2 linked regions of the Macaca mulatta genome follow. Each later gene encodes a partner of the first gene's protein in a complex. Links are inferred from orthologs where the notes say so. Each region holds a gene or a part of one and is shown on either strand. Other genes may lie near its edges.

What was found.
Region 2: MED16 (region 1) and MED13L share a complex: the UniProt entries of both Homo sapiens proteins name them as parts of the mediator complex. The link is inferred for Macaca mulatta from reciprocal best matches to the Homo sapiens genes MED16 and MED13L.

What each region holds. Positions count from the first base shown.
Region 1 is NC_133424.1:1,525,877-1,533,547, reverse strand, and holds part of MED16 (mediator of RNA polymerase II transcription subunit 16), read left to right. Parts: intron 1-676; coding exon 677-887; intron 888-2,488; coding exon 2,489-2,622; intron 2,623-3,725; coding exon 3,726-4,005; intron 4,006-4,931; coding exon 4,932-5,148; intron 5,149-7,133; coding exon 7,134-7,217; intron 7,218-7,522; coding exon of another isoform or gene 7,523-7,649; exon of another isoform or gene 7,650-7,671. UniProt on the Homo sapiens protein: Component of the Mediator complex, a coactivator involved in the regulated transcription of nearly all RNA polymerase II-dependent genes.
Region 2 is NC_133416.1:123,229,210-123,236,880, reverse strand, and holds part of MED13L (mediator of RNA polymerase II transcription subunit 13-like), read left to right. Parts: intron 1-623; coding exon 624-816; intron 817-1,456; coding exon 1,457-1,880; intron 1,881-2,386; coding exon 2,387-2,606; intron 2,607-4,053; coding exon 4,054-4,242; intron 4,243-7,671. UniProt on the Homo sapiens protein: Component of the Mediator complex, a coactivator involved in the regulated transcription of nearly all RNA polymerase II-dependent genes.

The sequences.
Region 1 (7,671 bases):
TCCCACTCACAGCACAGCCTGCTGAGAGACACGGGAGACCCAGGCAGGGGGCTGTGATGCTAAACCCCGGCATGGCTGGGATCCGTAGCCAGTGACGGGGCTTGTGATGGCGAGGCCTCACTCTCTCCCTCCTTGGGCCCTCACTGCGTGCCAAGTGTTTCATTTTTGTTTTTTAGTTATTTCTATTTTTTGTAGAGATGAGGTCTTCTGTGTTACACAGGCTCTGCAACTCCCAGCCTCCAGGAATCCTCCAACCTCAGCCTCCCAAAATGCTTCAACTCATTAATTCTGTCCTGCTAGACCAGGGTCTCCCTGCAGGCACCGCGGACATCGGGGGCTGGAGCAGCCTCTGGGGTGGGGGGCATCCTGTTGAGCAGCCTCCCTGGCCTCCAGTTGTCAGGGGCACCCCCAGTGGTGAGAACTAGAAATGTCTGCAGACATCACCAGGACGCCCCCGCCGGGGCAGAGCTGCTCCCAGCTGAGATCCGGCACCTGGTCCTGTGTGGCCGGTCCTCTGCGCCCGTTTAGCCACGAGGTTGCTGAGGTGCAGAGGTGAAGCAGCTTTCCCAGCTCACAGAACACCTGGGCTCAGGGTCGGACTGCTCTTCTCCCCACTGGAGCCTTGGCGGGCGCCTCTGCCACAGCCCTTTGGGGTGACCCGGCTTCCTGCCCCCAGGTTCTCTCCACCCGGATCCTGGCCATGAAGGCCTCGCTCTGCAAGCTGTCGCCCTGCACGGTGACCCGCGTGTGCGACTACCACACCAAGCTCTTCCTCATCGCCATCAGCTCCACCCTGAAGTCGCTGCTGCGCCCCCACTTCCTCAACACGCCCGACAAGAGCCCCGGCGACCGGCTGACCGAGATCTGCGCCAAGATCACTGACGTCGGTGGGTCCTGTCCCGCGCCCAGGGCCTTGAGGCTCTTTTCATTTTTTTTTTTTTTATTTATTTATTGTTTTTACTCTTGAGATAGGGTCTTAGCTGGAGTGCAGTGTCACACTCAGCTCATTGCAGCCTCAGCCTCCGCCTCCCTGGTTCAAGTGATTCTCCTGCCTCAGCCTCCCAAGTAGCTGGGATTACAGGCCTGCACCACCACGCCCGGCTGATTTTTGTATTTTTAGTAGAGATGGGGTTTCACCATGTTGGCCAGGCTGGTCTCGAACTCCTGACCTCAAATGACCCACCTGCCTCAGCCTCCTAAAGTCCTGGGATACAGCCTAAAGGCTGGGATTACACCACACCCAGCCTTTTAGAGACAGGGTCTCACTGTGTCATCCAGGTTGCAGCACGGTGGCACAGTTACAGCTCAGTGCAGCCTCTGCCTTCCAGGCTCAAGCAGTCTTCTCGTCTCAGCCTCTGGAGTAGCTGGGATTACAAGCGTGCGCCACACACGCAGTTTTTAATTATTCGCAGAGACAAGGTCTCACTGTGATGCCCAGACTGGTCTTGACCTCCTGAGCTCAAGCGATCCTTCCACCTGGGGGCTGAGATGCTACTCCCAGGCCGAGACGCGGCACCCGGGTCCTGTGTGGCAGGTCTGCTCCTTCTCCCATTTTGCTATAAGGGGACTGAGGCAGAGAGGCTAAGCAGCTCACCCAGCACGTGGTGTCCCACTCGCCTCGGCCTCCTAAAGCGCTGGGATTATAGGCGTGAGCCGCTGTGCTTGGCAGGTTGTCTCTTAAAAATTAGGGTTGCCGGGCGCAGTGGCTCAGGCCTGTAATCCCAGCACTTTGGGAGGCCGAGGTGAGCGGATCATGAGGTCAGAGGTCAGATCGAGACCATCCTGGCTAACACAGTGAAACCCCATCTCTAGTAAAAATACAAAAATGAGCAGGGCACGTTGGAAGGTGCCTGTAGTCCCAGCTACTCTGGAGGCTGAGGCAGGAGAATTGCTTGAACCCGGGAGGCAGAGCTTGCAGTGAGCTGAGATCGTGCCATTGTACTCCAGCCTGGGCGGCGTGAGACTCAGTCTCAAAAAATTTAAAAATTAGGGTTATTGTTTGTCTGGAGTACCCAGCTCACTGTGGGCGTGTGGCGCTCGTGGTATCTAGGAGCTGTGTGCACAGTCATTATTTCTGTGGGGCCACCCTAGTCACCATCCAACAGGCATCTGTTGGGTGTGTAACCGGCGCCAGGTGCCGGTCCTGCGTGGCTGCAGCTGCAGTGTGGACACACTGCTGTGTTCACAGAGTTCACCTCGGAGCAGGGGCAGATGTGCACCAGCGGGCCGGGCCTGAGCAGTGGTGGCCCTGGCATGGGGACCTGCCCGCGCCAAGGCCTGCAGGCCGAGAGAAGCGGCCCCCAGGTGGGCGGGCAGTGGGCTCCCGGTTCCTCCCTGGCAACGCCATCGCCCCCTTCTCCTTCCCGCCGTGGGTCCCCTTGTGTCCTGGCAGCGGCTGGGCGCTCGGTGCAGGTCGAAGGACCGAGGGGTGCAGTTAGGTCACCGTGTACAAGAAGCCCGAGCTGACCCGACCCGTGTCTCCTTGCAGACATTGACAAGGTCATGATCAACCTCAAGACGGAGGAGTTTGTCCTGGACATGAACACGCTGCAGGCGCTGCAGCAGCTCTTGCAGTGGGTGGGCGACTTCGTGCTCTACCTGCTGGCCAGCCTGCCCAACCAGGTGCGCTGCGCTCGCCCCTGAGGCTGCCCTCGCCCCTGAGGCTGCCCTCCCCGAGGCCCCGCCCCTCATCGGGGCCCTGACTCCTGGCCCCGCCCCTCATCTGGGCCCTGACTCCTGGCCCCGCCCCTCATCTGGGCCCTGACTCCCTGGCCCCGCCCCTCATCAGGGACCTGCCTCCCTGGCCCCGCCCCTCATCTGGGCCCTGACTCCTGGCCCCGCCCCTCATCTGGGCCCTGACTCCCTGGCCCCGCCCCACATCAGGGCCCTGCCTCCCTGGCCCCGCCTCTCATCTGAGCCCTGACTCCCTGGCCCCGCCCCTCATCTGGGCCCTGCCTCCTTGGCCCTGCCCCTGAAAACCACTTCAGCCCCGCCCCTACTTGGAGCCCCACCTCCTGACACTGTCTATTCTCAAAGCTCCACTGCCTATCCCGCCCGTCCTGAAGCGCTGCCCCACCTCAGAGCCCTCACCTCCATGAAGCTTCTGCAAAAAACCCTTCCTTGACCACACACTTTCTGCCCATTCTCGAAGCCCCGCCTCCCAGACCCTGCCCCTTCTCGGTCCCACCCTTTACTCTCCCCAGCTCCCGGTGCAGGAGGCGGTTGGGGGGAGTTGGCAGCTTTGAAATCATCAAGTCTCCATCCACACCCCCACCTTCAAGTATGCGGCCTGTGTGCCCCGAGCAGGGCTCCAGCCTCCCCCCGCCCACACACTCTGTCCTGCCCAAACCGTGACTTCTCTCCCCAAGTTTCATTCTGCCCTGGGGCCTCTGTCTCTCCACCCGCGCCCATCAGGCACGGTTTGAAGTCCCTGTCTGCTCCTTGTGGGACTTGAGGCTGCCAGGTTCTCTCGGCTCCCAGTACAGCCACCAGGGCCACTCAGCTGTGGGGGGCGGCTGCTCCTCCATGTGCCGGTGGGGACGTTGGCCTCAGCCAGAGCCGCTTCTTAGTCCTGTGGCGGCTCAGGGATGGGACAGCTCTCCAGACGGGGCTGTCCTGGGCCCTGCAGGGCGCTGAGCAGTGTCCCCGGCATCCACCCACTCCGTGCCAGGAGCTCCCCAGTCCTGACCACCACAAACGTCCCAGACCCTGTCCATTGCCTCCAGGTCGGGGTTCCACCGGACCCGAGAGACCTCATCCCATCACCATCTGCCCCCCCGCCGCCCAGCTACTCCGATGCCTCTTTCCGGCAGGGCTCGCTGCTGAGGCCGGGCCACAGCTTCCTGCGGGATGGCACCTCGCTGGGCATGCTTCGGGAGCTGATGGTGGTCATCCGCATCTGGGGCCTGCTGAAGCCCAGCTGCCTGCCTGTGTACACAGCCACCTCGGACACCCAGGACAGCATGTCGCTGCTCTTCCGCTTGCTCACCAAGCTCTGGATCTGCTGTGAGGCCCCCTGCCCTCTGCTCCCCTCTCCCTACCAGAACACACCGCGTCCGAGCCCCCTGCCAGAACATAAGCCCTCTGCTCTCCTCTCCCTACCAGAACATACCGTGTCCGAGCCCCCCGCCAGAACATAAGCCCTCTGCTCCCCTCTCCTACCAGAATGCACCGTGTCCGAGCCCCCCGCCAGAACATAAGCCCCTGCAGGTGGCAATGGCTCTGCCTTGATCTCTGCCATTTCCTCGGTTCGCAGCACAGGTCCATGCTCGGTGTGGGTGCCATTGGGATGGCAGCCACTCCCAGGCTCCTATTTGCTGTCTCTCCTTGTCAGGTTGTGTGTATGTGAGGAGGGTGGGTTGGATCGTTCTTATGTCTCAGTGTCTGGGAAAGGCACAGTGCTTCCCACATACTTTTTTTTTCTTTTTTTGAGATGGAGTCTTGCTCCGTTACCCGGGCTGGAGCGCAGTGGCGCAATCTCGGCTCACTGCAAGCTCCACCTTCCAGGTTCACGCCATTCTCCTGCCTCAGCCTCCGGAGTAGCTGGAACTACAGGCGCCCGCCACTGCGCCTGGCTAACTTTCTGTATTTTTAGTAGAGACGGGGTTTCACAGTGTTTGCCAGGATGATCTCCATCTCCTGACCTCGTGATCCACCCGCCTTGGCCTCCCAAAGTGCTGGGATTATAGGCGTGAGTCACCGCGCCCGGCCAGCTTCCTACATACTTTTTAAGTGAATGAGGGAGTCTCATTATTGAGGCCAGAGAGGGTGAGAGAACCCTGGGGTCACCCAGCCAGGCAGACAGAGCCGGGGCCCCGACCTGGTGCTCCTGAACTGGAGGGGCTCCCCGTGCGTCCCGGGTGGCCGGGTGGTGCCCCGGGCAGGGTTGCCCCAGGCAGAGTTGCCGAGACCTTGGCCACCCCTCTCTGCAGGTCGCGATGAGGGCCCAGCGAGCGAGCCAGACGAGGCGCTGGTGGACGAGTGCTGCCTGCTGCCCAGCCAGCTGCTTATCCCCAGCCTGGACTGGCTGCCCGCCAGCGACGGCCTGGTCAGCCGCCTGCAGCCCAAACAGCCCCTACGTCTGCAGTTCGGCCGGGCGCCCACACTGCCTGGCAGTGCTGCCACCCTGCAGCTCGATGGCCTTGCAAGGTGCGTGTGTCCCTGCATTGGTCCCCAAACACACCTCCCTCCATGCCCTGCCCCAAGGCCCCCCGAATCCACACAGCTCCCTCCCTCCGTGTCCTGCCCCAGAGCCCCCCAATCCACACAGCTCCCTCCCTCCATGTCCTGCCCCAGGGCCCCCCTGAATCTACACGGCTCCCTCCCTCCCTGTACTGCCCCAAGACCCCTGAATCCACACAGCTCCCTCCCTCCATGTCCTGCCCCAGGGCCCCCCCGAATCCACACGGCTCTCTCCCTCCATGTCCTGCCCCAAGACCCCTGAATCCACACAGCTCCCTCCCTCTATGTCCTGCCCCAGGGCCCCTGAATCCACACGGCCATAACTGCTGCTTCCTTCCAGGTGCCCTTAACGCCATACCCTAGTGGCGTCCCTGCTCTTCCATGAACCACCACCCATGCGGGCACCCAGTCCTTCCATTCACCCTCTCGCTTTCCCCACTGCCCCCGCCCCGACGGTCTTGCTCTGTCGCCCAGGCTGGAGTGCAGTGGTGCCATCTTGGCTCACTGCAACCTCTGCTTCCCAGGTTCAAATGATTCTCCTGCCTCAGCCTCCTGAGTAGCTGGGATTACAGGCGTCACCACCACACCCAGGTATTTTTTGTATTTTTGGTAGAGACGTGGTTTCGCCATGTTGGCCACGCTGGTCTTGAACTCCTGACCTCAGGTGATCTACCCGTCTCGCCCTGCCAAAGTGCTGGGGTTACAGGCGTGAGCCACCGCGCCGGCCTTGCCTTGGTTTTTACTGATTGTGTGCTAGCCTTGCTGTGCAGGGTGCCCTTAGTTTCTGCCCTTAGTCTCTGGTCTCTCTGGATGTGAGGCCTCACCGTCAATCCCCTTATTGATGGAGAGAGACGCCATAGCATGGCCCAGGGCACCGCTGAGCACAAACACCTCACCAGAAGGCTCTCCCGGGGTTACGAGGTCAGCTGCAGGGCTCGGGGCTGGCCTTCCTCTGGAACATGCAGGGTTTGGACAACCCAAGCCTGCTGAGCTCACCCCGGCCACCCAGCAGCCCTGTGGGGTGGGACCTTGTCACCCACTTCACTGTGAGGAAACCCAGCCTGGAAAGGGTGGGACCTTGTCACCCCACTCGTCTGGGGTCACGTGGTCAGGAAGTGGTCAAGTCCAGATTTGAACCCAGGCCCGTCAGACCCCCAGCCCATATCCAACATGCGTTTGACCAGGAGCACACCCAAACCCCCTGAGCCGCTGATGGCTCATGGCTGGAATTTTAGAAAACACAGATGAGCAAAAAGAAGAAAATGAAGTGAACCCCCAGTAGCCTGGCTCTGGGCCTGGCCTGGCTCCGGGACCTCCAGCATTCTCTTCCTCGTGCTCACTGTGGGAGGGTCCTGCTAGTGAGTCACGCACGAGGGTTTGGGTTTCAGGAAAAGACTTGATGGAAAGAGGACGGTTACGTCAGAGGCTTGTAAACTGGGAAAATTTCAAATATTTAATGAGAGCAGAATAAGCCAGCTCACCCCTACCCAGACCCAGGCCCCCCACCCACCACCAAGGGCAGCTTTTGCCACCAGAATCTGTTGTTGTACAGAGGTCCCGGTGCCCCCAGGCTGGGGGTCTGGGCTGAGGTGGTGTGGAAGCCTCACATACCCCCTTCTGTAAAGTCTCAAATGGGAGGGTCGCAAGCACCTTCTCCGCTTCCCAGGTGCCCTGTGTGGGCCCCGTCCCCTTTACTGGGCCCCTGAGCCTTGGGCTTCCCAGGCATCTGGGAGACCGACCCTCCTCCGTGTGTGGGGGGCCCCACACCCTTTACTGGGCTTGTCTCACGTGGTCCCGCACCTCCCACCTAACTGTTCACAGACACCTGGGCCCACCTGGCAGATGGTGTGAAGCCGGCCACCCCCTCCACCCACGCCTGTGGACAGATGCCCCTTCCGGAACCTGGCCTCATGGTGCCCAGCCCTTCCTCACGCTCTCCCCTCTCCCGCCAGGGCCCCAGGCCAGCCCAAGATCGACCACCTGCGGAGGCTGCACCTTGGCGCCTGCCCCACGGAGGAGTGCAAGGCCTGCACCAGGTGAGGGGCCCTGAGCCTGCTGACTCCCAGAGCTCTGCCGCCCGGGATGGCCCAGCTGATTCCAGCCAAGGCTCCAGACAGTCGAGCGTGGTAGGGGAGCGTGTCCCAGAGGGAGTGCTGGAGCCGGGATCCCAGGATGTGGAACAGTTAACTTGGCATGGCGGGGCTACTTCAGAGAGCAGTAGTTCTTCCCGGTGGGTGCAGCAGCGTGGGCAGAGGCCTTGTGGCAGGTGGGAGCACGGGGAGCAGGCGTGAGGGAGGCCCGCCCAGAAGTAGGAGCCCGCCCAGCGCCTGCCTCCCCGCAGGTGCGGCTGCGTCACCATGCTCAAGTCGCCCAACAGGACCACAGCGGTGAAGCAGTGGGAACAGCGCTGGATCAAGAACTGCCTGTGCGGCGGGCTCTGGTGGCGGGTGCCCCTCAGCTACCCCTGAGTCCGGCTGCTGCGAGAGCCAC
Region 2 (7,671 bases), on another chromosome or scaffold:
CTGCTGGTGAACAGGTAGTTTACTTTTTGCAGGTTTATTATATTCCCTGCCATAAGCTCCCATTTAGCGTCATGGAGATTAATAGCAGAATCTCCTTGTCCTATTCACTTTAAAAAAAAAAAAAAAGTGATCAGCGTACTCACTGCTTCAGTGGCCCCTGCTATTGGTGATCTCCAAATGTCTGTAACAGAACAGATGGCCCATAAAATTTTAATGTTATCTTATGGGAAAACATTATGAGTAGGGATTACTTAGGAGATTTTAGTGGACATATGTCTCAGTCAGCCTACTATGGCAGGAATCTGCTAATTCTTTGTCCGTTAGCAGTCAGGTAGTGTTCAGCAGCCTCCTCTTGTACAGGAGGAATTGGCTTGAGTGAAGAAACTTTGTTTTTTTTTTTAGAGAGCCTAGTCCAAGTTTTAGAGAGACAGATAGCAATTTAAGGGTACATTACAATTACCTGAAAGGACCAACTTATAATGTTGCTTTGATTGCATGCAGTAACCCTAAAAGAAAAAGGAAAATGCTTCCATCTGTATGTTAAAGAATCTGCCTTGCTAACCATTGGTACCGAATGAAGGAATGGCCCCTGTTATAACTAATGATCTCGTCTATGGTATCAGATGTGTAGGCTTGGGCAGCACAAGCCCATCTGCAAAGTGCTACGTGACGGGATCATGCGCGTGGGAAAAACCGTGGCACAGAAGCTGACAGATGAGCTTGTGAGTGAGTGGTTTAACCAGCCTTGGAGCGGCGAGGAGAATGACAATCATTCCAGACTCAAACTTTATGCGCAAGTTTGCCGCCATCACCTAGGTAAATGGGAATCTATTTGGCAAAGTAGAACTGGAGAAGTAAAATAGCAAATCCCTCCCATCCTTTCTTTTATAGATGCAACATTGTATTTCTTTTGCCTCAAGTAATGCTGTATTTGTTAAGGTCCATTTTGGTGTTCTGAGCAGTTTAATGCTAATTTCTATATGTACATATATTTTTTAAAAACTATTCAAAGTTGCCTAATCATGTCTAATTTACTCCACATTTTGAAAACTTAGCAGCATGACTTGGTGTTAGCTGCTTAGTTTTAACCCATATTCTGAAGAGAATCTTAGAAGCTTGTAAACCTAGGAGTATAATGTCCCGTGATGACTGTGGAATATATAGCTTCTCATTTTTCAGGGCAGGCATATGGAATCAGTCTGAAAGGAGACTATCACAAGTGATTGATTTTCTCTTTTCAAACAGGCCTCTTCAGTAGAATTTATAAGTTGCTCCGTGTGCATTTCCATGTTTGCAGAATACATAAGCATGAGTGTGGAGATAGTATTTTGTGTATTGTAATCAGAGTATTGCAGCTTGAAAGCATAATTTTTTTACAAGTGACCATTCTAGATTTCTGGTTTAGTCGACACTGCAGAATATCACTAAAGTCACCTCTTTGCATGTATTCTTTCAGCACCTTATTTAGCCACTCTGCAGCTTGATAGCAGCCTGTTGATACCACCTAAATACCAGACCCCACCAGCAGCGGCACAGGGACAGGCTACGCCTGGGAATGCTGGGCCCTTAGCTCCAAATGGATCAGCAGCTCCCCCAGCTGGCAGTGCATTTAACCCCACCTCGAATAGTAGTACTACAAATCCTGCAGCAAGTAGTTCCGCATCTGGTTCCTCTGTGCCACCGGTCTCATCGTCTGCCTCTGCTCCTGGTATTAGCCAGATAAGCACTACCTCTTCTTCAGGATTCAGTGGTAGTGTTGGAGGGCAGAACCCCAGCACTGGGGGCATTTCTACGGATAGAACTCAAGGGAGCATAGGCTGTGGCGGAGACACTGACCCTGGGCAGAGCTCTTCTCAGCCCTCACAGGATGGACAAGAGAGGTATGTTACTCACTAATTGAGACGAGTGGCCTCAGCTCAGACCCTTTCTCTCTTCTTCCGCACCTTTTCTCCCTTGACCTCATGATTCTCTGAATCCTATGAAGTGCTCTATTTCTCTTCTTCTCAAAAGAAAGGGGTAATGGTCAATCTAAAGCTGCAGTGTTAAAATTTTGAGACTTCTTATAAATTATTATGACTTATAAACCTTATTATTAAACTTACAATCAACTTAATAACAACTTTGTACAACATAACCACAGAAAAGAAAGGGGAGTTTGAAAAAGATATCTCCCATTTTAGAGGAGTACATTGCCATTTTCCATCTGCTTTCAATGCTCTCTGGCTTGGTTTGCCTGTATTTTGGTAAGGTGATACATGTTACTCTTACATTTAATCTGTAAATATTCTTTAGGGAGCCTGTGTGCTCTAGTATTGAGCACTTTTGTTTTTCATACTCATGTAATTTATGTTTATTTTGTGTGTCTCACAAGTGACTCTCTTGCCAGTGTTACAGAAAGGGAGAGAATAGGAATTCCCACGGAGCCTGACTCTGCAGACAGCCATGCCCACCCTCCAGCCGTTGTCATTTACATGGTAGACCCATTCACTTATGCTGCGGAGGAGGACTCCACTTCTGGGAACTTTTGGCTGTTGAGCTTGATGCGCTGCTACACAGAAATGCTGGATAATTTACCTGAGCATATGAGAAGTTCTTTCATTCTCCAGGTTACTGTTTGCAAGTTTATTATTTACTTTTGATGTTGATGTTTTTGTTGTTGTGAAAATAAATACAGGCTTATGGTTTTTCTTAAAAAATAGAAGTACAGGTTAATTATCCTCTAACCAAAATACTAGGGACCAGAGTGTTTTGGATTTCTGATTTTGGAATGTTTGCATATATGTAATGGGAGACCTTGGCAGTGGACCCAAGTCTAAACATAAAATTTGTGTTTTATATACACCTTATACACTTAACCTGAAGGTAATTTTATACAATTTTTTTAATAATTTTGTGCTTTATACAAAGTTTTGATTAAATTTGACTGCAGCACATCACATGAGGTCTGATACGGAATTTTCCACTTGTGGCGTTTTATTGACATTCCAAAAATTGTGAGTTTTGGCGCATTTTGGATTTCAGATTTTTTGATTAGGGATATTCAACCTGTACCCGAAAGTATAAAAGAAAAAATAATCATAATTCTGACTTTTACATTCAACCACCATTACCATTTTGGTGTTTTTCTAGCTTGTTTTTCTATTTTTGTTTACACAGTTGAGATCATACTTTTAATATAACTTAGTTTCTATCTAATGTTATTCATGAATACATTTTCATGTTATTTAAATTCTTACAAGCATTTTTAATGACTGCATATTTTCCATAGCCATTCCTATATCTCCACTTCTTTACTGTTATAAATAAAGCCATAGTACACATTTATGTATAATCTTATTTTTCACATTTCAGGTCATTTTTTAACATGGGTTCTTAGATGTAGATGCGACACATATTGCCAAATTCCATTCCAAAAGAGATTACACTTACTTTCCTTTCATCAGTGAATGAGTATGCTTATTTTCACTGCCCCTTTGACAGCTTTATAGTGTAATGATTTTTTTAAAAATTCTATATAGATGAAAAACAGTGCTTCGGATGTTTGGGTTTCATTTTAATGTCACTTTAACTGAAGCTATCTTGTAAAATTAAAAGATTGAAATTAAAGTTATCAGAGTACATTGCTGATAGTTTTCCATTGTTTTGAAGTCTGTATCCTAAATGATTAGGTAATAATTCCAAAAAATGCCACACACACTGTGTAATTATAAAAAGGAGAAATATAATACAATTTGGGGGCCATGGTAATACCTGTAATAAATTGAGATCTTACCTCTAAAATGGGAACATGGTAGTTTCTAAGTGACAGTATAACTTGACCCATATAATCGTACATCTTTCGAAATTGCTGGTGATAGAGAATTTTATGTCAGTGGAAGGAATTAGGATTTAATTATATTATGTGTGACACTGATATATTTTAGGGCTGAGGTTACCTCTCCCCATTGTGGTAAGGAATTCATGCCGTTTCCTTTTTCAGCTTGCTTGTTAGCGTGTTAGATCTCAGTTTCTAGGTTTTTGGTTTTGTTTTGTTTTTTGTATTTGTGTCTTTAGATTGTGCCTTGCCAGTACATGCTGCAGACAATGAAGGATGAGCAAGTTTTCTACATTCAATACTTGAAGTCCATGGCATTTTCAGTGTACTGCCAGTGCAGGCGACCATTGCCTACACAGATCCACATTAAATCCCTCACGGGATTTGGGCCTGCAGCCAGCATTGAGATGACCCTCAAGAACCCTGAGGTGGGTATTGGCAGGACAGGAACTTAGAAAATTTATACTAAAATGCAAGCTAGGAGAGGTATTTTATCTAACCTAGAGATTGGCTGGTTGCTTAGTTGGCCTTCTACCTTGATATAAGAGTTGCTAGGCTGGATGTGGTGGCTCACGCCTGTAGTCTTAGCACTTTGGGAGGCTGAGGTGGGAGGATTACTTAAGCCTAGGAGTTTGAGACCACCCTGGGCAACATAGCAAGACCCCGTCTCCACAAATTTTTTTAAAAAAAATTAGCCAGGTGTCAGTGATGATGTGTGCCAGTAGTCCTGGCTGTTTGGGAGGCTGAGACGGAAGGATCACTTGAGCCCAGGCGTTTGAGATGGCAGTGAGCTGTGATCACACAACCACTTCCGCCTGGAGAGTAAGACCCTGTCTCAAGCAGGGAATGAAAAAGAGTTGGCAGATTTCTTTAACTCTTAGATTTAAATAGAGGAGATATTTCTCTGAACTTTTAAGAATTTTTGAGAAAAGAGGCAAGCAAATTCTTACTGTTTTTTTAATGTAGGACTTTAGGCAATAATATATGTATCACTTTTAGTTCTTAATGTTTGAATTTTCTAAATTTATTTTCTTTATTTTTCTAAGCTACTCTGTGTCTTAGATCAGAAATCCTTTGCATTTTCTGGCTCTGGTCTGTATCCTGAGACAGCAGTTGTAGTTGTGTTTACTCTGCAGGGGGCCCTCATTTTCTGATGCACATACTTACAGGGAGTTGATTTCTCCTTTCCTTGCCTCAGTGCTTCGGTATGTAAATGAATGCATTTTCGCTCCATCTTTTTAAACCTACTTCCTACAGATATGTGTGGATTTCAAAGGGAATTTTACAGCACCAAAGCTAAACATGTTTTAAACAAAAGTTTTACATTTCCTTTGTTTTTCTAATCACCTTATCTTGAAGATAGGTATACAGGGCAATGTTCAGAATTTTCAAAGCCTTCAAAAATCAGTTCCCACAATTTTATTGCATGAAAAATACCCGATTAGTAAAAGCCAGCAAATACCTCTTTACCATAAGAGAGCTTCTTAAAACACCAATTGCTATTTTTAGTTGGTAATGTTGTTCTGAACAACTCTATGAAATGCTTGCACTTTTATAAGTAAAATGCTTGGAAGTGAAAAATGATGCAAGTAGTTAATACTGTGTTTGTTGTAACTTGGTTCAGGTCAGCTTAGTCCCAAGGGAGAAAAGCTGCTCAGCCGATGACCTACATTCACTCCAGTGTTATATAAAATTTCTATTTTAGGCAGTTTTAGTTTAGTTTATTCTTTGAGTTTAAAGTTTTCACTTCTATGAGCAGTTCATCTGTTTTCTCTATTAAATTTTTCTAGAATTTCAAAAATAAACATCTCTACTTATTTTTCATTTTGTTTCCAGAAATTATGAATTATTGCCTTTCTAAAGGTTATTATTCTCAGAGCGCCATCAGGAGCTCATAAGATAAAGTGAGGTTTAGGTTAAAATAAATGGCAAAAAGACTTCGAGTAGTATGCTTTTTCTCCATTTTGCTTGAAAGAGGAAGAGAGAAACGATTTTACTTTATTAGAAACAAAAGAACCAAATGTTATAAATATTTGCTGAAGTTTATACTTTTTTTTTTTTTTTTTTTTTTTTTTTGAGACAGAGTCTCACTCTGTTACCCAGGCTGGAGTGCAGTGGTGCGATCTTGGCTCACTGCAAGCTCCGCCTCCTGGGCTCACGCCATTCTCCTGCCTCAGCCTCCCAAGTAGCTGGGACTACAGGCGCCCACCACCACGCCTGGCTAATTTTTTGTATTTTTAGTTTCACCATGTTAGCCAGGATGGTCTCAATCTCCTGACCTTGTGATCCGCCCGTCTCGGTCTCCCAAAGTGCTGGGATTACAGGTGTGAGCCACTGCACCCAGCCTGAAGTTTATACATTTTAATCTGCATTAAGGTAATGGTTAGTTGGTCAATGCTGCCTCTGCCTCTGCCTCAGTCTGCAGCTAGAACACTGTGTTCTCGTTTGGTAAATATGGTTGAGCATCTACTGTGTGCCAGGTGCTCTCTTAGGTGCTGAGGATGCAGGGGTGAACAAAACAGGCCCCTGCCTCCATGCAGTTCTCATTCTCTGGGTGGCACAGTTTTATACAAGTTGTCACATGTGAAAGAATCTACTTTATAGTATTTATATGCAAATTTTCAAATACAATTGCTGTTATCTTTTGTTTTTCATGGAATATCTCACATCTCAACACAGTTTGGGAATCATATTTTATTTAGTGTTTCAGAAGCTATCTATTACATCTGAGATATTTCACATTTAGCCTTTTGTTTTGTAAAAAACTCCAGGCAAACTCAGCTGGACTTTTTCTTTTTTTAGTAACAGCTTTATTGAGATACAATTCACATATCATGAAATTCTTTTTAAAAATTTCACAGTTTAGGCTGGGCGCGGTGGCTCTTGCCTGTAATCCCAACACTTTGGGAGGCCGAGGCAGGCAGATCACCTGAGGTCAGGAGTTCAAGACCAGCCTGGCCAACATGGCAAAATCCCGTTTCCACTGAAAATAAAAAAGTTAGCCGGGTGTGGTGGCGGACACCTGTAATCCCAGCTACTTGGGAGGCTGAGGCAGAAGAATTGCTTGAACCCAGGAGGTGGAGGTTGCAGTAAGCACAGATCACGCCACTGCACTCCAGTCTCGGTGACAGAGTAAGACTCTGTTTCCAAAAAAAGGAAAAAAAATTGTATAGTTTAGTGGTTTTTAGTATTTCCACAGAGTTGTACAGTCATCACTACTATCTAATTTTGGAACGTTTTCGTCAACCCTCAAAGAAACACAGTATTCATTAGCACACACTACTCATTCCCCACTCCAGTCCCTGGCAACCACTGGTCTGCTTGCTGTCTCTGTGCAGCTGCCTGTTCTGGACATTTCGTGTAGATGGAATCATACAATATATGATTTTTTTTTTTTCTTTTTTAGACAGGGTCTCATTAATATTGCTTGGGCTGGTCTTGAACTCCTGGCCTCAAGCAGTCCTTCCCCCAATTTTTTTACTTTTATTTTTGAGACAAGGTCTTGCTCTGTCGCCCAGGGTGGTGTGCAGTGGCAAGATCACGGTTACTTGCAGCTTCAACCTCCCTGGGCTCAAGTGATCCTCCTGCCTGAGCCACTGGAGTAGCTGGGACTACAGGCATGTGCCACTGTGCCTTGCTAAAGTTTTGTAATTTTTTGATAGAGATGGGGTTTTGCCATGTTGCCCAGGCTGGTCTTGAGCTCCTTGGCTCAAGCATTCTGCCCGCCTCAGCCTCCCAAAGTACTGGGATAACAAGCGTGAACCACCTCACCTGGCCATATGTGATATTTTATGTCTGGCTTCTTCCATTTAGCGTAATGATTTTGAGATTCATCCGTGTCATAACATGTACCAGTA